Linked DNA regions of Cricetulus griseus. The protein of the gene in region 3 interacts with the protein of the main gene of each other region in a pairwise test. Links are inferred from orthologs where the notes say so. Each region holds a gene or a part of one and is shown on either strand. Other genes may lie near its edges. The genes, in order: Nrip3, Galnt2, Kash5, solute carrier family 41 member 2, Tmem11, Nsg1 and Gosr2.

Region 1 (4,027 bases), on a different chromosome or scaffold from region 3:
AAATCTGAGTTTAATTCTTAATTTAGCACAAAAATCCAAATACAATGAAATGACAAAAATAAATGAGCCAGATTAATAAGATATGATTAATTTCCACAGCAGACTTTGTAGCAGCCAACTCCACACACAAAGCAATTGGGTAAAGGCACTATCCTGGGGCCAAGAGAACATGGCTATCTTTGATTGCCTTACAGATGCCATTTGCCAAACCAAAAATGTTAATATCAAACCGTAAACATTGCAGAAACAGCGTAATACAAGGTAGATAATTCAGAAAAGTCAGCAGCATAATTAAAACATAAGATACTTGTATGATGAAAAATAATACAGTCTTAACACTGCTCAAGCCCGAGTCAATAAAAGCTGAATTTGTATCCTCTTATGCCTTCCTTTTGTCCCTTTCTATTGGGGCTGTTTGATAAACTACCTCAAGTAAAAACTACTGTTAATTTTAATACCCTCCAAATGGAGTCAGCATGATCTATCTTGTCTGTAAATGAGTTGATAAGAATATGTTTCTAAAATCGTTTCTGAGACAGTACTGAGCCTGCAACATCAGTTCCAAAGATGCTGTTTCTCCCCATCACTTGCATCTTCTTGCCCTCCTTCAATCAGCCTTGGTTTCTGTGATGTTTTCTGGTTCCTCCTTGCACATTAAATAACTTGCACATTAAAGGTGTGAGAACAGTGCTAGAGGAAGATTAACTATGAAAATGGGGGTACAGAAAGTGTGAAACATAGTTCAGGGTTTCACAGTCAACTGCTGTGTGTCATGCCAATGGCTACACCCTGAAAGCCACCTCTTCAACTATGCTCTATGCTATCCACTCCTCGTGGCTCAGCTGTGATGAAGGGAGTCAGAACAGAATTACCCTTACATAGTTCGAAGTCATATAAGGAATCGTAGGAAGAAGGATGTTGTGATTCTCATCAGGGAACTCCTTATAGCCACCCAGGGAAACCAAACATCTATACCTTAAATCCAGCATTTTAAACGTCCACATTTTAATTCTTTTCATAATACCTCCCACCTTATTGAATAGGATTACTTTGGTCTGAAGGAGAGAAGATTCAAACTGAGTTTGCCAAATGAGTCATGAATGCTTTTAAGTGCAAGAAGGTAAGAAAGAGTTATCTCTTTGATAGGATTAACATCACTCATCACTCTGGGTTAGCATGACTAGATCAACTATACCCAGGCTCAAGATGGAAAACAGCTTTTAGAAAAACCGAGTAAGATAACTAGAGTAGCTCTTTCCCTTCATGAGAGTATCTAATGGTAGGAAGGGAAAATCTTTGGTACTGATGAATCAGTAGAACTATTTTTTAAAAAAGCAGAAGCACTGGCCTTCATTGCCATACTGGGGCCAGAAATAGCAATTTCAATGATTCAGGGCCAACAACCACATTCAAAATTAAGTATTTCAGAAGCTCAAAATATAAAAATACTAGAAAGATTACCTAGAGCATTTATTTCTGCAAAAGACAATGTTTCACAAATTTCTCTGCAGATAATAAGGAAACTATAGATACAAGGAAACCATCAGAGCTGGGAGTGGTAATGCATACCTACATAATCTCAACAATCATGGGGCTGAAGCAGGAGGATCCAGAACTAGAGGCCAACTCGGGCTATGTACTGAAGGCCAAGCCAGCCTTGGTTATATATAGCAAGACCCTGACGTCTCAGAAAAAAAAAAAAAAATACAAGCAAAAGCAAACTCCAGATGAAACTACAGAGTTAGATTTAAAAAAAAAAATTGTGAGAAAGGGATGAGAATTAAATATAGGTCATATCCCTCAGCCATTCACCCCTATTCAATAGATGGAGGACAATATGGTTTTGGATTCTGGCCCACATCCTGGACTTCTACTTAATACCAAGAATAATCCTGCCAGAAATAAAAAGACTGCACCAACCCCAGCTCCAACTATGTGCATGCATTAGCTGGTCTGTGAGATGGAGCCATCAGCATTCACTCTTCAGAGGGAGGACTAAAGAAGAGGGAGAGATGAGAGTGATGAGATATTCAGGTTCTGGGAATATTCAATCTCAACCCCCCCCCGCGCCCCGCCTTTCCCTTGCCTGCCCCACCCCTACTCAGGGTAGAAAATCAAAGGTAGGTAGATTAAGGCCAAAACTAAACTAAATAGATTTGGGCGGCAGGGAGCGGGGCGCAGTAGAAACAACCAAAGTCATCTAGATTCAGCAACTGTCACGAAACCTCGCTTTCCGCTGTTTCTCAGTCATCCACTACGAGTCACCTCTGTCTGGGACACGGGACTGGCCATGCAGCCTGCGAGGAGGCAGTGGGAGCTGAGACTTCGCTGTGAGGTTCCAGCCCCGGGAGCCAAATTCGAGATCGGAATAGCGGAGCAAAGGAAATCTGAGGGCAATAGGACCGGGCAGGGTGTCTTTCTTCCTAGTCCTGGGGAGGAGAAAGCCAGGCTCCCTGGAGTAGGCTGCGACGAGAGAGAATGAGTGAGGAAAGCTACGAGGTCCCCAGGGATGAGAGATAGGGAGGGTCTCTGCCGAGCACCCGCCAGGGAGCGGACAGTGACTCAGTGAAAGCGGCAGCGAGGGCTTGGGCGACAGTGGCGGCCTGAGGAAGGCCGGAGGCAGGAGTGGCCGGGGTGGGGAGCTCACCGTGTCCTTGGACGAGCCCAGCTTTTTGAGGCCGTCCAGGGGCAGCAGGTCGGCGGAGTCCTTGTGGATGAACTGCACCGCCTGCTTCATCCGGCGCTGCTGCCGCAGGGAAGCCGCTTCCCGCATGTCGGTCTCCTTGCGGCCGCCCTCGGTGAGGAGTCCTGAGTAAAACATCTCTGAGGCGCCCGCGGCCCGGCGGCCGGGTCTCCCCGCCCCGAGCACCCTCAGCCTCGAGCTCCTTGACAGCGCTGTGGGAACCTTGCTCCCGCGCCTTTTATAGCCGAGCGTGACGTCACGGGGAGAGGCCAGTGCGCGAGGAGAGGGCGTGGCCGGCACAGCGCCCCGCCCTCTGGTGCACCTTGGGGGGGGGCGTGGTGTCTAGTGTCAATCATCTACTTCCACTTCATCACCCACCCGGAGGAAAAAGCCAGCCAGGAGCAGCTCGCGGTGGACCGACTGACGGCGGGGCGCTGAGTGTCCAGAGGGGCCGCTTCCCACAATTGTCCCCTCTCCTGCGTGGGATGCCCTGCATGCCCTGCATGGGATGGGCTGTAGGGCCCTGTACTCTAGCAGCCTCTCCCACCCCAGCCGCCGCCCTCAGACTCTCAGCTCACCTGTCCACGCCGATCCAGGGATCACTGACAACTGAGCCATGCTCAGCTTCTCAAGAGTCGAGCCTTTGTGCTCCGAAGTTGGGAGAGCTACGGATTCCTCCAACTTCAGGTCGGTCCCCACCCACAGGGGCACGTGACAAGGAGGGGGGCAGGAGGACGGGTTGGATGGGGCCTTCCGAGGACCCTCCGCCCCCTGGTACCCTCTGTTCCGGAGCCTAGCACCAGAGATGGGGAGGCAGGGCTGGTCTGAAACCTCTGCCTGCCAGGGAGTACACCTGCTCTTACGAACACCAAGAAAGCACCTATTTTTCTCTGCAAACGCTAGACTTTACATTTGGGGATGGAAGTGGAATGCGTCCTTGTGGGCAAATTAAAAGCTGTTTTTCTTTGAGACTCATTCATACTTTCTAGCCATTGTTCCTTCTGGGTTGGAGTCTTGACATATGACTTAATACAAATCACATTTCTATGTTTGGGAAATCACAACATCTCTCTCCACCTCACAGAAGCAGGCATGAACCAGAAAGCTCTGCACCCTGAGAGCACTTTTTAGTCACAATAACGACACTTTCCTGAGCTCTGTGGTTGCGAGCTAGATACTATAATGAACACTTACAAGGCAGCATCTTAATGAAGGACAGCAGCTATGAGATAGCATTACTATTCTCTTTATACAGGCAAATGCCCAAACCACCCAATCTGCCTCCAGAATGTCCCTGACTCCTTCCTTTCCATTGCTCACGGTGCTGCCAAAGTATTCCCCAAG
Region 2 (3,544 bases), on a different chromosome or scaffold from region 3:
AGCAGCATGGGGATGTCCACGGCTCATGTGAAGTCATGGTTGAAAGGAGCTGTCTTGTGCTCAGCCTTGAAAGTAGCCTATCTGGCCTCCAGGCTGCCCCTTGGTAGCTCAGCAGATGCCCTGCCCAGAAAGCTCACTGTTGAGTCTTCCTATAGGCACATTCATAGGAGTTTTCTTTCTGAAATAGAGGTCTTACTCAAAGTTTTGTTTGATGCTAGAAAAGTTGAGAACCCCCTGCATCTGTTCAGTTGGAGCTGGCCTCATAATGCAAGGGGATTGGTTAATGGAATCTGTTCTTTCCAAGGGAATTACTCCTATGACTGTAGCTTGCCCTCCTTTCTCTCCACTCTTGGGCAGGACTTCAGACAACACTGACCAGGTGACATTCAGACTCCCAGCATTGCTGCCATGATAGCATGCTGGTCTAGAATATTTAGCTCTCCATTGACTTTATGGTTTGCAAAGATCCTGCCTCATTTTTTTTTTCCTGTTTCCCTTCGGAGGTTCTCCTGGTTCTGTAGATTTCTCATCATACCAGCATGTGCTGATGGGGATGGCCTATGGCCTAGAGAGAAGTTCGTTCTTCTATGGTGTCTTTCAGAGTGGCACTTGTTGATTTTCCTGTTTAAACTTAGTTGTCTTGCTCAGGTTAGGGGACTGTCCCTGGCCTTTACCTTGGAACTTGGTTGGTACCTGGACCTGTTGATACATGAGAGCAATAGGCAAGGATTCTCCCCCCACACTACCACTACCACCACCCCCGCCCCAAAGGAAAGCCCAATGCATCCTGCCTCTTGGTTAGTGTGGAGGATCAGGGTCTGTGCACTCATCTCCAGTTGACAACTGTGGTGTTACTGGAGTGCACGTAGTCTTAGTCTGGGAGACATCTGCTTTCAGACCAAAAATCATCCTTTGGAGACGTCCGGTCCAGTGGTTTCCATGCATGTTCAATTTTGGGTGTGCTGTGGAGTTGGCCTATCTGGGATTCAGCCAGCATTTCCTCTATAAAAAGTTCCAGATCAGGTTCTGGAGAAGCAGCCCCTCATTGGTTTCCCTTGGCAGTTGAAAGTGAACTATGGTAGGTGGCTAGGGCAGGGGTAGCTGTGCCATGGAGACAGCAGCTATGACAGACTGATGGTTGCCAAATTTTCTTACCAGAGATCTCATTCCGAGTGTGGCAGTGCGGTGGCAGCCTTGAGATCATTCCATGTAGCCGTGTGGGACATGTGTTCCGGAAGCAGCACCCCTACACGTTCCCGGGTGGCAGTGGCACTGTCTTTGCCCGGTAAGTAGTGAGAGGCCAGACCAGCTGTCTGCTTAGAAGACACCCCGGAGCTGTGTGGGGACAGTGTCCTTTGAAAGGCATGGCCCCCAAGCTGAGAAAAGGTGCAGTAGCTAGTGCGCGGGTATTCTAATGAGAAAACTCCAAAACAGTCTCACTGTGCCCCATGGAGGTCTCAGAAAGGCACTGTGGCAGGGAGGGGTGCAGATGTGGCCACTAAAGGTGGGGTAGCAGGGGAGTTAGCACTGGGACATCAAGGAAAGACTACCATGTGATGATCACAAATATCTCAGAGAGGCAACTGGTTTTGTGCTGTATCGCACTCACAGTGCAAATAAGAGCAGTAATTTGTTCTTCCTTCATGTACTGCAGTAACAAGTACTGCTGGCTGAGTCATCATAAAAGCACCATTGTTGGCTAACTGTCCTGATGGCAACACATCTGGAGCCAAGGTGTCCACTCCTGCCAAGGGCTGTCCTAGTGCCCCACATAGTAAAGGGTAAGAGAGGCGAAGGGCATACCAGAACAGCCACAGTCTCGTGACAGTAGAGCTCCATGGCCTGGCCACTGCTTGAAGTTCCTGCCTCTTGGTGTCATTTCAATACAACTAAATTTCAGCATGAGTTCTGAAGGAGCAGACATTGAAACCATATCAGAAGGCAAGTCACACTGCACTCCAGCCAGAAGACATCATGGCTCATAACTGATTAGTGATTGGCAATCAATGTTAGTAGACAAAAACTGAAAAGCTGCTTGGTCTAACCAGGTTTTTCCTGGGAATCTTTTCCAGTTCTAACATGGTAGCACACACCTTTAATCCCAGTGCTCAGAAGGCAGAAGCAGGTGGCTGTCTGTGAGTTTGAGGCCAGCCAAGGTTACATAGTGAGGCCCTGTATAAACAAACAAACAAAAAAATACCAAAAAACCTGAGTCAGACCTCATGGGGGCACAGTGTGGAATTAGACCTTCAGGAGCAGACAGCAAAACCTCTAAGCCAGACAAGATGTTTCTAATGCTCGTCTGGTCAGCACCATGGGGAAATGCAATTGGGCTAACTGGGACAGGTTTGACAGATTAAAGGCACTCAGAGCTCCCTGTGGAGATGGCACGGGAGTCCACTGGGCTGCTAACGTTGGGTGTGTTCAGACTGTCAGACCCAGGGGAATATCAGTGCTAGAGTCTGCAGGATGTTTCAGAGGATCTGTCCGTGGTCACTTGCCTGTGTTTCTGGACCTGTTCAGAGACAGGAGCTGGTGGCAGTGCCATGTCAAGAGGCCTCTCACTGCTTGGCAGATGGGAAGTGGAGGGCAAATTGGGCATGCCTCCACCCCCTACCTTTCACCATCTCCAACATCACCACCATATTGTGACTCTACCTAAGAATATGGCCATTGGTTAGGTCAGAGCCTTGATGTAATCATTTCTGCTTCTCAAAGACAAACCCAGAGACCCAGGGGTGTTTCATCATCTGGGCACTTCTCAGTGCAAAAACCTACATGTCTACATGTCCACAACCATTCATCAGTTTTTCCACTGTACACTGTGAAGTGAGGACATTTTCACATACATTTCATTTCTGGTTATTGACCTTGAGGTGAATCTCCAGGGTTAGCACCAGGAGTCCGAGGATGGGCACGTTTGCATCTTGTCTCAGTGGCAACAGTCTGGCCCCTCCCCCAGTGAGGGACAACAGGAATATTTATCACTTTATTGGGAAGATGGAGGCCCCACATGGAGATGGATTTAGTAATTACAGCTCAGACAGTGTGACAGGTTCAGCATTTAAAAGGCTTTACTGCAGAGAAAAAGCTTTACCTGCAGGGTGACCACTGCCTGCCTGCCGTGCTCATTTTGGAAGAGCATGATAGGCCATGTTTCATGTAGCAGAGGGTCTGCTGGTGTCTGTGCTTACAGTGGCCCTTCCTAAGTGTTGTGGCTGCAGGCTTTCTTTATGAACCAGAGGAACCCCACACCTGGGCTACGATGTCCCCACCTCTTCATGCTGTCATTTCTAATTTTCACATGACTTCCCTCAGCCTCAGCTGAGGGCCAACTTCACTTCCCAGTGTGTTAGTGGTGCTGCATCCCCTCACACTGTGGAGGCTGGGGCGCTGGAGTCTCCTGCTGTGGCCTCCATGGCACAGCAGGGATTTTGTCTCAGGAGTGTCTGCACTGTCCTTGCAGCTTCTGCCCGGGGATACCTTGTGCTGTAGTGATTGATGGTGGTTCCATGGGCTTAAACTGAGCACCCTCCCACAGACT
Region 3 (4,139 bases):
AGAAGAATGGGATAGAATGAGAATGGGCCTCTGCTTGGCACATAACTACAGGCACTCATGGATCATCAGAACCACAGCAGCTGCTATTCCTAAAGATGAGTCTGAGGCAGAGCAACAGAAGCTGCCACAGTTGCCTTCCAGCACAAGAATCCCCTTTCTCCCCCTGACACTTCAGGACTCATTGCACCAGTTTGATTTGGACCTTTTCTGGCTCCCATGGGAGGGCTCTAGGAGCCCAGGATAGTTAGGGGAGGTGGACTTCAGCTGGTCTACTGCTCTTCATCATCCAGTGTAACAAAGGAGGACTCTGTGGCCCAGTGAGGACACTGATACATAGAGACACTACCCTAAGACACTCTTTCTGCCCTCTCCTTCCTCCTCCACTTCACAGCTCTGCCCCTGCTTCTATCTTTTTTTTTTTTCTGAAAAGTTTTTTCTGTGTAGCCCTGGCTGTCCTGGAACTAACTACTATAGACCAGGCTGGCCTTGAACTCACAGAGACCCACCTGCCTCTGCCTCTGCCTCTGCTGGACTATAGACCAGGCTGGCCTTGAACTCACAGAGACCCACCTGCCTCTGCCTCTGCCTCTGCTGGACTATAGACCAGGCTGGCCTTGAACTCACAGAGACCCACCTGCCTCTGCCTCTGCCTCTGCTGGACTATAGACCAGGCTGGCCTTGAACTCACAGAGACCCACCTGCCTCTGCCTCTGCCTCTGCTGGACTATAGACCAGGCTGGCCTTGAACTCACAGAGACCCACCTGCCTCTGCCTCGGCCTCTGCTGGGTCCCCAGCTCTACTTCTTTTGAGATATTTCTTCCACTTCTTCCCCAACCTCTCTCACATGTCCAGCTTCTGTCCTGTGTCCCTCCATCCTGTTTTCTCCTGTCTTCCATCTTGTTACTCTGTTCCTAGTGCCTTCTCTCTACTTTGCCATCTCTGTCTTTTATCCCTTGCTTTTCCTGTGGCTGAGTTATTCCCTTCCCAAAGGCAGTCTCAGGAATTGACTTGGCTATGGTCCTAGTTCCTGGTGGCTGCACGCCCTCTGCTGGTGCAGGCGAGGTTTAGATGGCGGTCATTCCCCGTAAGCCAGGCAGCCCTCTCTCTAGTCCTGGCATGCTGGTCTGCCTGAAAACCCTCCTATTTGCAGAGGTTACTCCTGAGGCTGATGTGCAAATCTCAGCTTTGAGCAAAGCTGCAGGCCTGCCTGTAAACATCCAGGAGCCTGGAAGACAAGATACTCCAGCAGTGACCCCAACTGACTATCTAGAGGAAAGAGCTTCTTAATCAGAGGCTGGCTTTCCCTTCTAGCTCATCCTCAGGGGATGGAGAGTCAGAAATCAGAGATGAGGTGAGGGGGGAGACCAGGACAGTAGAGGAAGGAGAGAGCTTCTTGGGGAACAGAGTTGCTGAGTCAGGGCAGAGACAAAGATAGGCAGGAAAGAGAACAGGAGTGAGAGACAGAGACAGAGGCTGGCCCACAGAAGACAGTCGGTTAGCCAGCACCTTCCTCCCTGAGCTGATGTGTGCTGGCTCCCACACCTACGTATCTGAATCTGCCCACAAGGCACTGAGCTTCCACAATGAAGCCGGCATTGCTCTGGCTAGCAGCACCAGTCGGCACAGGCTGCCTGCACTTGAGCAGGCCAAGATGGAACAGTGTTAGTGTGAAACATCACATACTAGTTCTCAAAGATGTCGGAAAACAGGAGTAACTCAGCATGTTCTTATGCTGCTTAATGCAGAAAACAGTTTATATGCATACAAAGCTAAATAAAATCAGTTAATACCATTTGCATCACCTGCTTGATTTGGCCTTTAACTTTCTATCTTCTTGCCTCAGCCCCTCAGTTCCAGGACTACAGATATGAGCCCCTTGCCAGCTTTTCTCTTTTAAAAAAATTAAAAGTTATATATGTGAGCTGAGCATGGTGGAGAGCATGCTTGTAATCTCAACACTTGAGAAACAGAGGTAGAGGGGTGAAAAGTTCAAAGCCAGATTTTGTCTCAAAAAACCAAAAACCCAGAGGTCAGCACAGCTGAACATAGCTCAGTGGTGATTGGTTGCCTAGCACACACAAAACCCTGGATTTCACCTCCTGCACTGTAAGACACACACACACACACACACACACACACACACACACACACACACACACACACACACACACACACACACACACACACACACACACACACACACACACACACACACACACACACACACACACACACACACACACACACACACACACACACACACACACACACACACACACACACACACACACACACACACACACACACACACACACACACACACACTGGGAGTAGAATAGGTTTTGAGGAGCCATGCTCCAGGGGAGAGTCTTAGACTAAGTAGGTGACAGACAGATGCCAGTGTTGGGAAGAGAAGTGCAGCAGGAAGAGACGGGGCAGGGAACCTGTTTTACCCCAAGTAAGAGATCTCACTAGCCCACGATCTGAACAGAGGAGGAATTGGTGGGAAGAGGTGGGATGGTGTGGATATTACCATGTGCACAGCCTTCTGTCCCCAATAGCCCTCCAGAGAGGAGCAAATGGGGACAGACACGTGGCAAGCACACAATCGACACTTCTCCCACCATCCTTTGCTTCTGACCACGCTGCCTGGCCACCTCTCCTGCTCCCACACTGGCCCGCAGCTCCCACTTCCTCCTCTTCCAGGCAGACACCTACTTTGTGCAGTGGAACTACTAGCCGGGTCCTCTGGCAGGTCCATGGACCACTCCTGTTTCTCTGTTGCAGCTGGTGAAGCTCTCACCCTTCCTCCACTGATAGGAGGGTTGGGAAAGGAACAGCCTGCCCAGACAGCTCCTAGAAGGACAAGCAAAGTAATGGCTTCCTCAGACTAGCCACCGCTAAACTGCTCCATCTCTGCCCCAGGGTTCTCAGAACCTGTTTGCCATGCCCATCCCAACTCCAACCTGTTGCTATGGATTTGAGGTATGGGATGGGGAGCAGGCGGCAAGATCAAAGCAGGAGACAAGAGGGTGGGGTCAACTGCTGCCCCTAGGGCTTGTGGCCACCTCTCTCCCCTGTAACCTAGCAAGTCATCATGCCTGTCCTAGAGACTCCACTTTGTGCTCCTCTTGCCGTCCTCAATCTTGCCTTGGGTCCTTGTTCTCCCTGGGCCCACGTCCCAGCCTCCTTCCAGGCTCCAGTGCATCCCCACAGGCTGCAGAGCTGATCTGCCTGGCCATGGTTCCCCATCACCTTGAGGCAGAGCCTGCTTTTTTCTGGCAACAGAGGCACAGTGTGGCCTGGGCCAGCTGCTTTCTCTCCAAATCATGCTCTATCTTCTAGCAACTCTAACCCACTACTCCTACTGTGGTCTCTGCCTGGGACTTGCCTTGCCTTTGTGTCTTGTTATCTAGAAACAGCTTTCACTCTGCCTGGGACTGAATACCAAGCTGAACTGGCTCCCACACTGCCTGGAGACTGCCCATTTTATCCCGAATTTGGACTGCTGGCCGTCTGAACCACTTTCAGCCTTGCTCTCCCTGCCTCCACACTCGTTTGTCACTGAGCCACACTGTCAATAATCTTTCACTGGTGGATTCTAGGCAAGTGCTCTCCTGCTGAACCACACACCAGCCCCACTAGTCAATTCCAGATAGACACTTTACTGCCAAGCTACAGCCCAGCCTTTTCATTTTGAGACAAAACGTCCCTAATATGGCCAGCTTGGCCTTGAATTTGTCATCTCTTTGCCTCATCAGGAAGCTGATTCATCAGGACTGCTTTCTTGCCTTTCTCCCCCTTTAGGTTTATTTTTATTTTTTATTCGAGTGTTTTGTCTACATGTGTATGAACCACATGTGTGTCTGATATCTTTGGAGGCCAGAGGGCATCAGATTTCCTAGAACTGGAGTTACAGATGGTTATGAGTTGCCACATGGGTGCTGGGATTTTCAAGAGTACTGTTTCAGCCTTTGTTTTTTAAAACAAAACAAGGTCCCCCTCTGTAGCCCTCACTGGCCTGGAACTTGCCATGAAGACTAGCCCAACTTTGAACTCAGAGATCCACCTGCTTCAGAGTGCTGGATTAAAGACTTGAGCCATCAAGCTGAAGTGAGCAAGTGTTTTTAACCACTGA
Region 4 (3,544 bases), on a different chromosome or scaffold from region 3:
TAAGACAGCCTGCATGTTCCTGAGAAACATCTGAGGCATCATGAAGTTACTGTGCAGTTAGGTGCTGCCAGGGGGGGCATATATGGCCTTGCAGCTCAGTGCCAGTTGGTGACTAGCTACACTAGCTATCTGTGTGTATCTTTTGAGACTCTAGTCACTAGCTAACAGTCAGAGACCTACTTGGGGACATTAGACCCTAGAAGACTTGAGGAACACGGAAAGGCATTACCAGCTTTGTTTTGGTTGGCTTACAAAATGGAGGACTGAGTATTTATCGTTATTTTTAGTTATGTCCTAAATAATCTAAGGAATATATATATATATATATATATATATATATATATATATGTGTGTGTGTGTGTGTGTGTGTATATATATATATACACATATATATATGTGTGTGTGTATACATACATACATACATACATACATACATACATACATACATACATAGGCTTTTCAAGACAGGGCTTCTCTGTGTAACGGCCCTGGTTGTCCTGGAATTCACTTTGTAGACCAGACTGGCCTTGAACTCACAGAGATCCACCTGCCTCTGCCTCCCAAGCTCTGGGATTAAAGTTGTGCGCCGCCACCACCCAGCTAAGGAATATATTCTTAAGTCAATTTAATGATTGTTTTGTATATGAGAATGATAGATGACTCTAACCTAGTTTTATATGTGGACTAAATGCCCTGTACTGTATTCAGGATACCTATAAAGTGTTTTTACAGTAAATGTCATCTTTGTCTCTTCATATTTTAATGAAAAATGTGTAATAACCTATAAGTAAAGGAATATGGCTTATTAGTTAATACAGTATCATGGTATATACTTTATTGTGTTTTTTATATTGACATGTATAAGTGGCCGAGACTACTTATTTATTTTGGTGCTGAAACTCAGAAACAAGCACAATTTAATTTTGAGTCCTCTCCATAGTGATAGGAGCTTCTTTTCCTCCTCCTCCTTTTGGTTTTGTTAGAAAGAGGGTCTCATTCTGTAGCCTAGGCCAGTCTCTATCTTTTGGCAGTCCTCTACTTGGCCTCCTAAGTGCTACCACAGGAGTATGCCACCATGTGCAGCAGATGCCATCACTTTGTATCTTAAATGTATCCCCTGTAGAACTTCAGAGGCAGTCGAAGACCTCATATGGGCTTCAGTTACATGAAACGTACAAAAATAGAAACACTTTTACCCAAGATAGATTATAAAATGTTTACACATTTTGTTTGTTTTGTCCTTTTTGAGGCAGGATCTCGATGTGTACTCCTGACTGGCTTGGAACTCACTGGCTTCAAGCTTAGAGATCTGCTTGCCTCTCCCTCCTGAATACTACTAGTAGTATTAAAGGTGTGCACTACCACACCTGGCTTCTGCACTGTATTTTTATTAAAAATGCAGTTGTGTGTCACAAAACAGATCTGTGTCCAACTCTTGGAATAGAGTATGGCTCCTGCACTTATATGAAAATTAGTATAAGTGTGGTTAATCTAAGTTTTTGTTTGTTTGTTTGTTTTTCAGGACAGGATTTCTCTGTATTGTTTTGGAGCCTGTCCTGAAACTCACTTGGTAGGCCAGGCGGGTCCTGAACTCAGAGAGATCAGCCTGTCTCTGCCTCCCTAGTGCTAGGATTAGAGGCATGAGCCACCAACGCCTGGCCTCTAAGTTTCAAATTTTATTTTTTCCTTTGCAGATTGAATCCCTCTCTGGAACTGGTAAATGTTTTTTACCAGAGGAAACGTTTCCTGTCCAGTAAAGTCAATGGCTTAACTTCGGCAAATACTGGTGTGACTTTGCTTCTGCTATGCTCCACGAAGCTTGAGTCTGAAGGATACAGTGCTTTTTGTGATGACAATATGACTCACAGTAAAGGAAGATCTGTCACTTGCAAGACAAGTGGCAGTCCAGATAGTGGAGGAGGTTTTGTAGATTGGACTTTAAATTTAAACACAATTCAGTCTGACAAGTTTTTGAACTTACTTTTAAGTATGGTGCCAGTCATTTACCAGAAGAACCAGGAAGACAGGCATAAAAAAGCAAATGGCATTTGGCAGGATGGACTGTCAGTTGCAGCCCAGACCTTCAGCAAGAGGTCAGAGCCACATCTGGACTACCACGAGTTCTCAGAGCAGGCTTTCCACAGCAGCAGTGGGCATGCTCCAGCCAGCTGCAGCCCCAAATATGACGACTATGCCAGCTATAACTACTGTGATGGGAGGGAGGCTTCAGAAACCACAGCCATGTTACAGGACGAAGATCTGTCCAGTGAGGGTGATGATGTTATTGTGGAAACAAACCAGAAGCTACCCAAGGAGTCTAGTGGCATCATGGCTCTGCAGATACTCGTGCCATTCTTGCTGGCTGGGTTTGGAACAGTCTCTGCCGGCATGGTTTTGGACATAGTACAGGTGAGTTTTCATCTTTAGTTTCTGTGTGCGTGCGTGCGTGCGTGCGTGCGTGCGTGCGTGCGTGCGTGCGTGCGTGCGTGCGTGCGTGCGTGCGTGCGCTTTTGCACATGGGCTCCAGTGCACTAGAGGCCAACCTTGGATGTCTTCCTTAGTTGCTTTCCACTTGTTTTGTGAGGCAGGGTCTCTCACTTCTACCTGGAAGTTACTGACTCAGTTGGCAGCTGGTGACACTCTAGGGGTCCAGCCTGTCTCTGTCTCCTCAGCATTGGGATTATGAGTGTGCCACTGTGCTTGACTTTCTGGATTTTTAATTCATTCATTAATTAATTTGAAACAAGAATTTCCACATCTCCCTGGCCATCCTGGAACTCACTATGTAGACCAGGCTGGCCTTGAACCCACGGAGATCCAGCTGCTTTTGATTCTGCCTCCCAAGTGTTGGGAATAGAGGTGTGTGCTATCCCTCCCGACTAGCTTTCTTTTTTGTCAACATAGGTTCTGAGGATTGAATCTAGGTCCTTATGCTTTACTCGCTCCAACCCTTCCCCTTCTCTCCCCTCCCCTCTTTCTTCCCCTCTCCTTCTCCTCTTCCCCTCCACTCCCCTCCCATCCTCTCCCCTCCTCTCCGTTCTCCTTCCTTCTCTTTTCCTTTCCTCCTTCATTGCCCCTGTCTGTCAATAGGGTATTGTAAGACCCCCCCCCCCCCGGAAAGCTCAGGCTTCCAGTATCTTAGCCCAGGACCAAGGCCACCTCAATCACTAGGCTGAGTCGAAAGCTTGATGCAAACTGCATGAGGCTTTATTATTGTTTAACTAGCTAACCCCATGTTAGCTCTGGTCTTTCACCCATCCACCATTGTGGATGGCTACAAAAGACAGTTCGAAGCGGTTGCATAGAGATCTTATAGGGCAGCGTAAGGGGAGTGTCTAGGGGTATGCACAGGCTCAGGATTGGTGTGCCTCCAGGCTTGGAGTGCTTGCCCTGTGTTGATTGGCCAACTGGTTGTTATGGCCCATAGGTCCTCCCAGGGCAGTTGCTATGCTCTGCATGTCATTGCTGTGCGCTTGTCAGTAAAGCACACCCAGAGCCATAAAGCATAGCACCACCAGCTAACTTCTGATTGGTTCCTTGCCAC
Region 5 (4,274 bases), on a different chromosome or scaffold from region 3:
ATAATTGTCATGCAGCTCTAGTACTAGCCAGTGTTTCTGGACTTAAGAAGCAGGCAGAGCAAGAACCAATGCACACTAAGTTGACAATCAGCATTACGCAAGGCAATAAATACAACATATGCTCCAGAGTATGCAGCCACTGCCAATATGATGTCTGTTCAAAGCAATGCCCACTCCAGCCCTTGCCACAAACTACCCTGCATCTCCATCAGTTTCAGCATAGGGCAGGCAGCAAGGTGTGAGCAACTCTGAAGTACTCTTAACATGAAGCTGAAATTTGAGTCAGTCCAAATGTGACATGGAACAAAGTCACTTAGGAGCCATAAACAGCTTACTTATGTCATGAGAGCCAATAATACACTCAGTCCTCATAATCTATGGTGCTGAGTATACAATTATTCTGACCTGCTCCACCCAGTCAGGCCACCAAGTGAGCTGGAATGGAGGTGTGCCCAGAAGTCAGCTTGCTAGTCAGGTGGGGTTGTTTCCATACACTGCTCAGAGTGGGAGGGCCTTAAGGAGATGGGATCCTGAGACTGAGTCCTTTGGCAAGGACTTTCCCACAAAGGCAAATAGAGGGGAAGCCTCCAGTCACTACATATTATCTAGGAGAGCAGATGGCAACTCTCAAATCACAAAATCTGACACCCCATTCCTGGTAGATACACAACATCTGCACACATGGGTAGAAACTGCAGTTCCTGACCAAAGGTCATAACCTGAACACCTACAGGCCCCATACAGATAACCTCAATTAGTTGTCAGGTGAGGAACTAAAGAGAAGCTGTTCTGAAGAGTGTCAACTACTATCTAGTTTTACCTCAAAATCTTTCTGCATTTCATTTAAATTCCCTTAAAAGCTGTTGAAGCTCAATCAAGGACTGACTGACAAACTATTTTTGACTAATATTAGTTTCAAGACAAAGGAAAAATAGTTCTCTGTATCTATTTTCTTAGGAAGGCTACAGTGTAAGGCTCTTGTCCCATGCCTGAGGCATCCATGTTTGGCCCTTTCAGTCTGTATCCAAGAATAAGCGTATCCTAGAGCACCCAGGCGGTGGAGACCCACGCCTGGCCCAGCACTTGGGAGGCAGAGGCAGGAGGATCTCTGTGGGTTTGAGACCAGCCTGGTCTATGAGAGCTAGTTCCAGGACAGCCTCCAAAGCCACAGAGAAACCTTGTCTCAGGGGGAAAAAAAGCAACAACAACAAAAAGAGTATCCTAGAGCTTGGTGACTCACACTTTTAATCCAGCACTTGGGAGGCAGAGGCAGAGGCAGAGGCAGAGGCAGAGGCAGGCTGATCTCTGTGAATTCAAGCAAAACTTCAACTAGAGTGAGTTCCAGGACAGCCAGCGCTACACAGTGAGACCCTGCCTCTAAAAAACAACAGGAGTAGTAAAAGTGTCTTTGTCCGACACTGGGTCTTCTAGGAAGGTTCTTTCCTGTTACTAAGGGGCTGAAATTAAAAGTCTGAAAGCATCCCTTAAGGTGTTAAGGACATGGAAAACAACAAAATAACCTCTTTTGATGTTCTTATCTAAGAAATAAGTGAAAGTTAGAAAAACTACTCTTTGCCATTGCTTTTCCATGGAACAGTAAATGCACAATAGATTATTTTGCCTAACTGAAATCAAGAATAAAACCAAGGCTATCACTACTGCCAAGCAGGAAGAATTGTGTGGGATGGGAAAGTTCTCTAAGCAAAAGCAAGGTACATGGGATGCATCAGACAAAAAAGAACAATGCAGATTAGTGAAGACAGAACTTTTATGTTTGACAGTACTCATCGGAAAAGAAAAAAAAAAAAAGCCCAACTTTCTTTTCTACTGACATCTACAGTAAAATGCAGAGGCCTTTGCAAAACGGACTGAGCAGCTTAATCCAGTAGTTCTACCGATATACACCCATCTCCCCAAACTTCTAACGACTGAACAGTTTCTAGTAACCTACTAGCTAATAACACTTCCCAGAAGGAAAAGCCTACAAAAGTTCAACATGAAACACGCCAACTACTCTCATCTTCGGAAATCACTGGAAGAAACAAACCCCTAGCGCCCCCAAACGCATTCTGTTGAAAAGGTCACTTTAAAGGACTTAGGGCAGAAGCGCTTGCAGCGAACCCTCTAAGAGTGGCGATGACTGCCGCTCAGAAGGCGTCCAAGCACAGGCTCTTGGAGGTGCGCCCGGCACGCTGCTGCTCTCAGCAAACGCCCCTAGAAGCACACCGCTCTACCCTCCTCCTCTTCCAAGAGTCCATCCACGCCACGTCCGGCGCCCAGGCCCAGACAGCCACGTGCGCGAGCCAGCGACCCAGGGCCCGCACGCCGCTCCGCAGGACAGCTTGGCGGCCCTCGCAGTCGCTCACCCCGGTTCACAGACCGCCTAGTGCGGGCCGCTACCCCTCCTAGTCGAGCTCCCGGCGCTCCTCGGCCGTCGCGCCGGCCCGCTCCTCCCACACCAGAGCCCCGAAGACTGGGCCCCGCGTGCGGCAGGACACGACCCCGAGTCGCGCGTGGCACAGAGGCTTCGCCGACTCTAAGGTCGGTGGCTGCCTGCAGTCGCGAGCCCAGCTCACCTCTCTCGGGAGCCACCGCCGCCCGGACCCAGACGCCTCCTTCCCCACGCGGCCATCTTGGAGACTCTCGGCTCGTCGGGGGCTGGCGCCGAAGCGGCTCGGGGTGCGCGCGGGCCGAAGGGAAACGTAGTCCGGTGAGCCGTTCGTACGCAGTGGGAGGTTGCGAGCGGACTACAACGCCCACAATGCCGCACACCGGAAGCCTGCTGTAAACTGCCGCGCGCAAGAGGGCAAAAGGTGGGCTCCGCCTGAGGAAAGAGTCTCCGAGTCGCTGTGTGCGAGTTGCTGCGCCCACCGCCTGGACGTCCTTGGGCGCCCAGAGCGAATGGCTGAAGGAGAGCGGAATGAAAGCGCCTACCACTCCCAGAGCGCTTCGCGCGGCGACCCCGCCCTCAGGGCCTGAGAAGCCCAACCCTTGGCTTCAGCCCTCTTGCCCTTCACTGTGGCCTCGGCCGCTGGGGGCCTGCGTTTCAACTGTCCCACACTTTACAATGACTTGAGCAGCTTAACCTCCTCCGTTTCTCTCTTCTTATCTGCAGTCTAGAACTCGTGCTCCCCCAGTTTGAAGGTTACCTCTGCTTCCGCAGTGTCAACTGCCCCTCTCTCCTGACCAGAGCTTGCCAGCCTGGCAAATTCAGAGATTTTGAGGGTCTGTAGATGTGCTTGACCCAAAATGCCTTTTCCTCCCAGCCAGTTTTTATGCTTCAAGACCTCGGGTCTGTGTGGTTTCTAGGAAGTTCCTGGTTTTCAAATTGAATGCTGCAACCCTGCCTCCAAGTGCCAAACTGTAGCACAGTGCAAGTGTGGCAGAAAATTAGGAACGTGTAGCAAAAGATATCAAGAATAAGGTATGAGGGACTGCAGAGACGGTTCAACAGTTAGGGTACTGACAACTCTTCCAGGAGACTCAGGATCCATTCCTGGCACATGGCAGCTAACAATAGTCTGTTAATCCAGTAATATCCAAGGCCCTCTTGTGGCCTCATGAGCACTGCACACACGAGGTACACAAATACACAGGTAAAGCACCCAGACGCATTAGAAAAAGAAAAAAGACAAAAAGAATAAGGTATGAAAAAGCCAGTTGATAATTGCCTGGAAACCCTTCCCCGCCTGGGCTACTCAAACAAACTTGGCCTAGAGAAGGCAGGTGGTATGGAAATGGCCTATAAAGGGTTCATGAGATTATGGCTAAGGACTTGAGTTTATGAGTCTTAACCAGATCACTAGCCTATTCCCAAGCTCCTGAGTATCTTTGTAAATTTTTTAATGAATTGCTTCTATTATCTCGGATACAATTCTTTGTCCTGAGATACAAGAACCTAGAAACCTAAGTAGGTGACCCTGTGACTCATCCAGGAGGTAAATCTGTGCTATTTTTTATTTCCCATTTTCCCCTTCCTTATTTATACTATCTTTCACTTTCCCAGGAGCATTTCAAAGTGGTAGGAAAGCCCTCAGCTCTCGAGAAACCCTGATAATAGTGCAGGGGCATGCTCCCTTTCCCAGCATCCTTCAGTTTTCTATGGTTTTGCCACCTATGGTGATCTATACTCATGGCCCAGGGAAGCCTGGACCCTTCTCTGCCCTATTGTGACATGAGCAGAAAAAAAAAAGTTATGCATTGACCAGGGGCTCCCAAGCTTACATTTAACCTGGGAGGCTGAGTGGCAGCTGGTCAGGAGGGTCTGCCCTTTA
Region 6 (4,332 bases), on a different chromosome or scaffold from region 3:
CAAGAGTGGTCATAGGGGAGAAAAATGGCCTGTGCCTGGCATTGAGCCAGAAAGCCCTGCACTTCAGTGCGTATTATCAAGTTTCACTCCTGGCATGCCACTCTCCTGCAGTAGACAGGGGTATCCACTCCTTGAAGGCATCATCTCAAGGCAGCATTGAGCACTGCCCTGCCATCCTCACATCCCAGCTGCACCAATGTAGCCTTGTGACCTTGAGCACACATTTGGGAGCCACTTTACCTGACCATGAATACAGAAGGCTTCTTCCTGTCCTATCCATAACCTGGAGGGCAAAAGGCCTATATCATCCAGAACTGTGAGGGTGAGGACATCTAGGCCACTTGAATTCAATCTCCATCTACCACTAACTGACAAGTGACCTTGGACAGAGCCTTTCGAACTCTCTAGGCCATCATTGCTACGTCTATCAAATGAGAGCAATGGTGGCGGTTGCCTTGCAGCAACGTGGGCATGTTGAAGTTCAGCCAATGAAGTGCACAGAACAGTGCCTGGTATGGCAAGTGTCCCTAACGAATGTCAGGCATGGCTGCTCCTGATGTGACTGGCAGGTCTTCACACTGGGAAGTCATATCCCCAACCTCCCTGACTCTTGTCAAGTGTGAGAGTCCAACTCTAAGCATGCTAGGGATTTCCATACCCCGGAGGCCAGTGACCTTCAGCAGGATGACCTTGGGTGCATTTGGTGAACTCTGAAAGTCTGTCTCCTCCTCTGTGACTTTGGAACCCTTTTAGCTCAAGGACCTGTTCCTACAGGAATGCCCTTTTCTGGAGCATCCCCATCAGTTACCCCAAGAGAGGAGACTCTACCTACAGAGCCAGCTAGCCTAATCCCAAGCAACAAGACTGGCTGGCAGAATGTGGGACTTGCCTGAAGCCCTCCACCTTGTGGCGGACCGTGCCAGGCAGTTCTGGAACGGAACACACTGAAGGCAACAGAGGAGGCTTGGGCCAAGTACAGGGAATCACCTGATAAAGGTGCCACTTCAGGACACAGGGTTCCTGGTGCAGACCTCTGGTGCTCCTCGGCTGGGTGTATCAAGGTAGGAGGGGTAGAAGTACTCGGGACAGAGTCCTGACACCCCACCATAAGGTGGAGGCCACAGACTCGATAGCTCTGTTCCTCCTATGAAGGCTAGCCTGAGCCAACAGCCGTGGTGTGAGGTGCACAGCTATAACCAGCTGATCCTGCCTTCTCAAATGAAAACATCTGCAACCAGTCCCTTCCCTGCTCCCATGTCACCCACCCCCACCCCACCGCCCCAAAAACCCAGACAATAGAATTAAGGAGACAAAATCACTTTGGGAAGCTAAGTTTGGGAATGAAAGAAGACCCTACTGCAGCTCCCTCTTACACCCCATTCTAACTGCCCAGTGAATGCAGAGCCCAGAGTCGGAGCCTCTTTCTCAAGAACGAACTGAGACAATAAATGTAAAAGCATGTGGGAATCTTGAGCAAGCCCCTTTGTGTGTAGGGACTGTAGATGCAGGGCGTGTGGTTTTACATTAGAGTATTGCAATGCTATCTTCTATGTTAAGGATAGAATTTGCTTTTAAATGGTATGGCTTGAAAATATCTTTATGGAGCAATGATACCCCACTGGATGTAGTACTCAAGAGGGGAGTCTTTTATAAGTCAGAAAAAAAAATGCATCACGTAAAGATGGTCCTGGTTACACTAGCATTAGTGAGTCGGAGCTCAGATATGGGGATTTCACAAAAGGAACAAAGAGGAAAAAGGCTCTATTCCTGAGCACACACCCAGTAAGGCAAGTGGAGCTGAAACTGCACCACCCCCAAAAGGCACAAGGACCAGCTCCCTGGGCTCACTCCTGAACCCCATACTCCTGTACCACAAACATTGCTCCTCATAAGACTCCCCCAAAGTCAAGAGGGGGCTTTCCACTAAAGAATCTTGCCAAGAAGAAGATGTCATCTAAGGCAGGGGGCCTCCAGCATCACCAAACCGAGAATCATGAGGGTACATTGTGCTCGCCCTGCCTTCCTCCTCTTGGCTGAGCCCGCCCCCACCTCTCATCCCCAAAGCGCACAAGGCGTTTCTTTTGTTTCGGTTGCAGCTGAAGATTTAAGGGTGCACACCCAGCAGCGCGGGAATGTCGGGGGCTCATACCTTATCCGGGGGTGGGAATTGCAGCTGGTTGACATCGAGGGGCGTCATCAGGGGAATGGTGTCGAAGCCATCCTCCAGCAGTGGCTGCTTGGTGCCCTTCTCTGCGAAATTGTTCCCCAACTTCACCATGGTTGCGAAAGACTCGAGGCTGCGGCCTGCGGAGGGAGGGCCGGGTGGGGGTCAGGGCGAGCGGCAGCCGGGGCGGGGCAGGGCATAGCCAGGAGGACTCCGCACACCCACCCGCTGGCCCCGCGTCCGCTGGCCCCGCCTGGTCTCCCGAGAGAGGTGGCAGGGACGCGGCGATCGCAGCCAGATCAGGGTCTCCAGGCTGTGTATTGGTGGGCATTTCTAGACGCCCATCCCGCAGAGGGCAGGGCTCATCACGGCCAGGCTAGGGGACACCACCCGTGCCCAGCCTTTGCAGGACGCGTCCCCAGTCCCGCGGCGCTGGCCTCCTGCGCGTCTCCCGCGGCCCTCAGAGTGAGAGTTGCTCCGCCGCCCACCCTGCTCCCCACCCGCACTCACCCCACGCCCGGCTCCGGCAAGTATGGGCTCTGAGCGCGCTCCGAGGCTCCGCGTCGCCCGCTCCCGCGTGCGGCAATGGCGGAGGCGGCGCCGCGGCCGGGGGATCAACGATTGGGTTCTGCGCCTCCCGCCTCTGCGCGCCGCCTCCTTCCTGCCGCTCCCGGGGGCCGCGCGCGGGAGTGCGCGTGGGGCCGCGCCGATGCGCCTCCGCCTTGACGCAGCGCCGCCCGCGCGCGGATCGGCTGCACAAAGGAGCACGCGGCTGCAGTGGGGGGTCCCCAGGGGGACCCCACGCGCGATTAGACCCGGGGAAGGAGAACCTGAGACTCCTGATGCCGAGCTGGGGTATCCCCCAGCGGTATGCACAACCCTGGGGCGATGATCGAGTGCAGGGTTGTCGGGAGGGAGGAAGGGAAGGGAAGTGGGAGATGTAGGGAAGCCAGGAAGCCCCAAAGGGAGGGAGAGAGGGTTCTGGCACACCGCGGAGCCGATTTGAGGATCCTGAAGGATGAAGAAGGTTTTCGGAGGACAATGTGGATGACAGACCTAGGTGGCCCTTAGTGTGAGGCTGGGTTGGAGGGGGATGAAAACGAGGGCGTGTCTCTATAAATATAAAGAGGGAGGTTTAGTGCTGTCCCATGGCTACGGATGCATGCCTGGGGTGTGAGGACAAGAGGACAGGTGTTCAGAGCTTAGGGTGCTACCACGAGAGGCAGGCTAGCCAAAGCTGTCTGCGGTCAGGGAAGGCAAGGATCTCCCCACCGCAGCCTCAGCTCGCCTGGATGGTACTGAGACTCAGAAGGAAGAACGGAAGTTCTAGTGCCTGACTAGTGCCCCAGGCAGATGTCACAGCTGCGCAGATAAAGGCCACTGCACTTAACAGACCTCTAGCCAGACTTGCTTGCAGGAAGGAAAAGCTACTTGGATATGGGAGCGAAGCTACAAAAGGAGTGGGGCTGAGGGTGCACGAGGAGCAGCACCCTGAGAACTTACATGTCCCCATGGTTCTTACCTGGGTTCTAAACATTCTCAGGGGACCCTGAGAAATAATAGAAATCAGACCCTTCAGGAAGAGCCTATGGGTCCAGATTCCAAATTCTCCTGGACAGCCCCTTCTTTAAAGGGGGAGGGAGGGTCTGTTGCCAGGGCTTTCCTACCCAGACTTCTGGCAAGTTCAAGGCTGCCTTTGAGTCAAGGCAGCCTGACCAGGGCCCAGAATTCTCTCTAGAGTGCTTTTCCAGGAGGCAGAGGGAAGGGCCTCCAAGGTACCTGTGTGACATCTTGTTGCCCTCTTAACAGCAGAGAACGGGAGTTAGAAAACACCCAGGCACCAGCCTGCAGGCATCAGGGTGCCTACCAGTCAGGCTGCCTAGTTTGTGCAAGAGAGTGGCTATATCTCCATCTCAGACTCGAGCTGTTTTCAAATCACAGCACTAGTCTACTCTGGAGTCAGGACCCATCCAAGGAGCAATATGGTTGGTCACGCCCTCAACCTCTAAGACTTCAAGAGCCAGGCTATCCTAGAGACAGCTACAGTTATGCTGTGGCTTGTTGGCCTGGGCATTGCTCTTTCCTTCTGTGTGGTTTTCTTTGCTTATATCTGGACCCCATAACAGGCACAGGAAATGCAAAGTACATAAGACACACTGCCACCCTCC
Region 7 (4,297 bases), on a different chromosome or scaffold from region 3:
ATATGATACACATGGGGGTGCAGACATGAGAAAAAAAAGAAGTTTCAGGCTTTTGTAACATGGGGTCCACCATGGACTTGGGTGACAATATAGCTAAGCAAAGAGCAGGTACACATTAAGCAAGAAGCATTGCTGTTATTTTTTTTAAAGCTTTACACAGGTTGTAGCAAGAATTCTAAATGAAATTGCTCTTTAAAGAAGTCAATGAATCAGGGCTGGAGAGATGGCTCAGAGGTTAAGAACACTGTCTGCTCTTCCAGAGAACCCAGGTTCAATTCCCAGCACCCATATGGCAGCTCACAACTGTAACTTCAGCTGTCAGGGATTTGACACCCTCCCACAGACATACATACAGGCAAAATACCAATGCACACAAAAATAAATAAATAAAAAATAAATAAGAAGTCAATGAATCTGTTGGGCCCAGTGATGGTAATATCTATAATCTCAGCAGGAGTATTTTGAGTTAGAGAACAGCCTGGGGACTGAACCAAGTGGGGAAGAAAAGGTCATGAAACTACCTACCCACCTCCACCATACACAGTGACTTTGTGTGCTCACTGCCTCTAACCACCATGAGCAAGATAGGGCTTGGGAGTTAAAGGCTCTCAGTTGCAAATCTAGTTCAACTATGCAAGATGACAGACACTTAAGTCATTTAACTCCTTGGTGCCTCTGTCTTAACTATACAGAGCTGCTAATGGTTAACAATAATTTGAGAGCTTACAGAAACTAATGTTTAGGTGTAACCTCAGCAGCATCAAGTTAAACTGCTGTTGCTTTTAAAGTAATGAGTGTAGTGGTGGTACACATCTTTTTTTTGTTTTGTTTTTTGAGATAGGTGGTACTCATCTTTCTCTGTGGTGGTACACATTTTAATCCCAGCACATAAGTGGCAGAGGCAGGTGGATCTCTGTAAGTTCCAGGCCAGCCTGATTTTTATAGTGAGTTCCAGATCAGCTAGGGCTACACAGTGAGACTCTATCTCAAACAAACAAACAAATAAAGTAGTGGGTTAACCTGCGTGTGGTGGTGCTCACCTGTCGTCTTAGCACTTGGGTATAAGTGGTGGTAACATCTATAATCCCAGCAGGAGGCCAGTCTGAGCCACACAGCAGGTTATAGGCTAATCTTAGCTACATAGGGAAATCCTGTCTTGAACACACACACACACACACACACACACACACACACACACACACACACACACACACACACACGATTTTCACATCTTCCACTCTGCCTCTGTAGCTAGTTTTTACACCCCACAAGGCAAATTGACAAGTTGGTCTTGAGATAATAGTTCTTAAAACAAACTACTCATTAAAACCACCTGGAAAGCCTGTTCACTACAGAGCTGTTTGCATCTAAGACCTACTTAACCTGCATTGTTTAGAGATGAGATCCAGAATGGCAGACTGGACAATACAAAGAACAAATATAACCATCTTTACAAACACTAGTATCTCAAAAATGGAAGCCTGGCGATTAGCTTCTCCATAAAGTTCACCTTAGTGGACAAATGCTGAAGTATAAAATGTCCTGTTTTTCATCTTTTTTTTTTTTCATTCATTTGGTGCTCGGGACTTTTCCAGTTATCTGACTTTAAATAATTGATTTAATGTCAGTGTACTTTCACAATAAGAGATAATCACAGATTAGGTTCAAAGTTCTAGAGAGATGTTCTAGAGAGTATGTTCTGATGTATGTTTTGTCAATTCAGCAAATAGCATATTAACCTCAATGCACTGCTAGGCCCATGTAAAGGATCGGTTCTCGGGCTATTTTTTTAATCTCTTCCTACCCTTTTTACATAATACACAAATTATCATTATAATGTAGTTTCCGAATTTTCCCTCTCCCAAATCACTCTGTTGGCAAAGTAAAAAGAGAACCATAAACTTCGAATATAAGAAAGAAAAAGAATAGCCACGATCTTATTTCCATTCCTTTTGTTATGAGTTTACCAAGGAGGCCGGATTGACTAGCTTATTTCATTTTCAGACCCAGGGTGTATGACAGTTCGGTGTTGTTATAAAATCAATAGAAAGGCCTTAAAACGGCGTTAAGTATGGCCCTTATCATGTCCAGCTACATAACACAGCAAGTTCCCAAAACACAGGACAATATGAATAAAGGGCACATCACGGAAACTAATTTAGTTATGAACAGACAATCTAAAACTCAACTTTCCTTAAAGCTAACTTGTAACCCAATATGACTAACAATAATAGTCTAGGTTACCTGTATTTCTCTGTGGCACGAAAATGTGTTCTTTAATGTCCAACCAAGAATACAAAACACTTTTTTCGCACAGCCCCTGACACTCCCACTAAGCAATGAACTCATGGACACGGGCTTCGTCAACTGCTCCTCTGTTCTCGAAGCTCTACCAACCCGGAGGACTAAGCTGGCAGGTGATGGACAATGCACTATAACCTGTGTGTTGCTATTTTCCCCTCCCAACAGGCAGTCACGGTTTGCAGCAGGAGCTACCCGGCCCAAGCTTCGCGCCCACACCGGCCCCCTCTCGCGGCGGAGGACAGACATCCCGCAAGGGACTGAGAGATGCGGAGCAGCCCCGGCGGAAACGCTCGACCTCCACCATGGCAGTCGCCAAAGCCCCGAGCCCCGGGAGCCGCCCACCCGGCCGAGCCCAGCCCGCTCCCCAACGCAGCCCTCACTTGTGCGTTTGTTGGTACAGCGGCTCCATGACGCCGGCCGAGCCGGCCTGCGGCTTCCTCGGAACACGTCCTCACAGCCCCACTTCCGGCTTCCGACTTCCGGTCTCAGGACCCGCCCTCCTGAGTAGGGCGTCCGCTGGTGCGCCTGACCCGAGGTGGTTGTGAGGTCGGAGAAGGGGTTGCGAGAAAGGAAAGCCGTACGCGAGGGGTGGGTGTGGCTCGACACTTGGCCCGGCGCGGAGCCCCGGGGAAGTTTTCTGCTGGGGCTTGGCTTCAGGTTTGAATCAGGTATCGGAGAGGACGGTCGCGGGGTACTGACGTCAGAGCCTCAGGGAGAAGTCGCTGGCGCTTTCCGGCTCGGCTTTTTCACTGTGTGATTTCGGGTCTGAGCCGATTTCCCTCCTCAACGCGAATGCTTTTCCTGTCCCGAACTTGTCTGCCCACTAGTCTTCCCATCGCCTTCTGTTGATTTCCGTTAAGCCCACACACAGTGAGTGCGCGTTTAACATGTGTCCTGTGTGACGCGGAACAACCAAATTCCTCCTGGTCGGACTAGAAAAGGAAATACGATCTGTATACAAGTAAACATTCCAAAAGGTAGAAAAACCTCAATAAGTGCAAAGATAATAAACTGAGCTGGGGCTGTCGTCGATGGGAAATTTTTAAAAGACATGAAGGGCGGGTGGCATTTGGAGGAGGACTTGGAAGGGCTCAAGCACTTGTCTTCACCTAGGCCCGTCTCATTTCCATCCATCTAGGTGCTTATCTACAGTTCCTCCCAAGGGAGGAGTTGTTCCTCTTCCTTTAGTGAGTTGTAACTTCTATTTTCTGTATCCCGCATCCCTCCCAGTTTTGTGTCCCAAGAGACTGCCTGCCCGTTTTCATTCTTTCCCTAACATTAAATTTCCCACACAGTAGATGTTTACTGAACATCTACTGTGTGCCATGCACAGACGCGTGGGATAGGAACACAAGCAAAACACATTCCTGAAGTTTCTCTTTCTCACTGTCTATTGACAAGGTTCATAACCTTGAGGCCTAGTAGCAAGCAACATTTAGGCTATCACTGATGTAAGGACCATTTCCCAGGAGAGGAGCTAGAGGGATCCAGGAATCAAGAAGCATGGGTATAGGGCCTTCAAGAATCAATGGAAGGTTTGAGGGTGGGACGGCTGCATGTCAACTATAGTTGATTGGACAGTACGATTGGGGATCATTAGATAAAGGGCTACTTTATTATATTTTTAGTACCTCAGTGGTGAGGAAAATGCAGGGAAATATGTGTACTTGTATGTACCGGTAAAATTGTTTTGGGGTCGTATGGGGCCCTAGGTAAATATTTTTGTGGGCCTTGCTATGTAGGTCTTTTGTTTTTAAATTGTATTACAAAATCCATGGCCCCATATGAAGAACAGTAAGGATAAATAACAGAAAAGAGGAATCTTCATACTCAATTATTTTGTAATAAATACAGCAAGGACTCCTTACAGTATTCATACAACACAAGCCCCTGTTTGGGCCCAGTAACTATATATCTGTTCTTGTCCTTTACTTTTTGAATGTGCTATTTCTAGCCACCATGAAGAGAGAGAGACAGAGAGAGAGAGAGAGAG

Evidence for each region.
Region 1: the proteins of Kash5 (region 3) and Nrip3 interact in binary tests that used the Homo sapiens proteins (3 or more experiments, as listed by UniProt). The two-hybrid records come from large-scale screens. The link is inferred for Cricetulus griseus from reciprocal best matches to the Homo sapiens genes KASH5 and NRIP3.
Region 2: the proteins of Kash5 (region 3) and Galnt2 interact in binary tests that used the Homo sapiens proteins (3 or more experiments, as listed by UniProt). The two-hybrid records come from large-scale screens. The link is inferred for Cricetulus griseus from reciprocal best matches to the Homo sapiens genes KASH5 and GALNT2.
Region 4: the proteins of Kash5 (region 3) and solute carrier family 41 member 2 interact in binary tests that used the Homo sapiens proteins (3 or more experiments, as listed by UniProt). The two-hybrid records come from large-scale screens. The link is inferred for Cricetulus griseus from reciprocal best matches to the Homo sapiens genes KASH5 and SLC41A2.
Region 5: the proteins of Kash5 (region 3) and Tmem11 interact in binary tests that used the Homo sapiens proteins (3 or more experiments, as listed by UniProt). The two-hybrid records come from large-scale screens. The link is inferred for Cricetulus griseus from reciprocal best matches to the Homo sapiens genes KASH5 and TMEM11.
Region 6: the proteins of Kash5 (region 3) and Nsg1 interact in binary tests that used the Homo sapiens proteins (3 or more experiments, as listed by UniProt). The two-hybrid records come from large-scale screens. The link is inferred for Cricetulus griseus from reciprocal best matches to the Homo sapiens genes KASH5 and NSG1.
Region 7: the proteins of Kash5 (region 3) and Gosr2 interact in binary tests that used the Homo sapiens proteins (3 or more experiments, as listed by UniProt). The two-hybrid records come from large-scale screens. The link is inferred for Cricetulus griseus from reciprocal best matches to the Homo sapiens genes KASH5 and GOSR2.

The regions. Positions count from the first base shown.
Region 1 is NC_048596.1:90,942,970-90,946,996, reverse strand, and holds the start of Nrip3 (nuclear receptor-interacting protein 3), read right to left. Parts: upstream 2,822-4,027; coding exon 2,648-2,821; intron 1-2,647.
Region 2 is NC_048596.1:201,041,119-201,044,662, forward strand, and holds part of Galnt2 (polypeptide N-acetylgalactosaminyltransferase 2), read left to right. Parts: intron 1-1,158; coding exon 1,159-1,285; intron 1,286-3,544. UniProt on the Homo sapiens protein: Catalyzes the initial reaction in O-linked oligosaccharide biosynthesis, the transfer of an N-acetyl-D-galactosamine residue to a serine or threonine residue on the protein receptor.
Region 3 is NC_048599.1:154,093,297-154,097,435, forward strand, and holds the start of Kash5 (protein KASH5), read right to left. Parts: upstream 2,841-4,139; 5' UTR 2,763-2,840; coding exon 2,720-2,762; intron 1-2,719. UniProt on the Homo sapiens protein: As a component of the LINC (LInker of Nucleoskeleton and Cytoskeleton) complex, involved in the connection between the nuclear lamina and the cytoskeleton.
Region 4 is NW_023276806.1:152,039,077-152,042,620, forward strand, and holds part of solute carrier family 41 member 2, read left to right. Parts: intron 1-1,694; 5' UTR 1,695-1,857; coding exon 1,858-2,409; intron 2,410-3,544. UniProt on the Homo sapiens protein: Acts as a plasma-membrane magnesium transporter. Can also mediate the transport of other divalent metal cations in an order of Ba(2+) > Ni(2+) > Co(2+) > Fe(2+) > Mn(2+).
Region 5 is NC_048600.1:74,863,444-74,867,717, forward strand, and holds the start of Tmem11 (transmembrane protein 11, mitochondrial), read right to left. Parts: upstream 2,841-4,274; 5' UTR 2,633-2,840; coding exon 2,577-2,632; intron 1-2,576. UniProt on the Homo sapiens protein: Plays a role in mitochondrial morphogenesis.
Region 6 is NW_023276807.1:107,106,753-107,111,084, forward strand, and holds the start of Nsg1 (neuronal vesicle trafficking-associated protein 1), read right to left. Parts: upstream 2,834-4,332; 5' UTR 2,675-2,833; intron 2,305-2,674; 5' UTR 2,279-2,304; coding exon 2,150-2,278; intron 1-2,149.
Region 7 is NC_048600.1:116,738,638-116,742,934, forward strand, and holds the start of Gosr2 (Golgi SNAP receptor complex member 2), read right to left. Parts: upstream 2,838-4,297; 5' UTR 2,714-2,837; coding exon 2,685-2,713; intron 1-2,684. UniProt on the Homo sapiens protein: Involved in transport of proteins from the cis/medial-Golgi to the trans-Golgi network.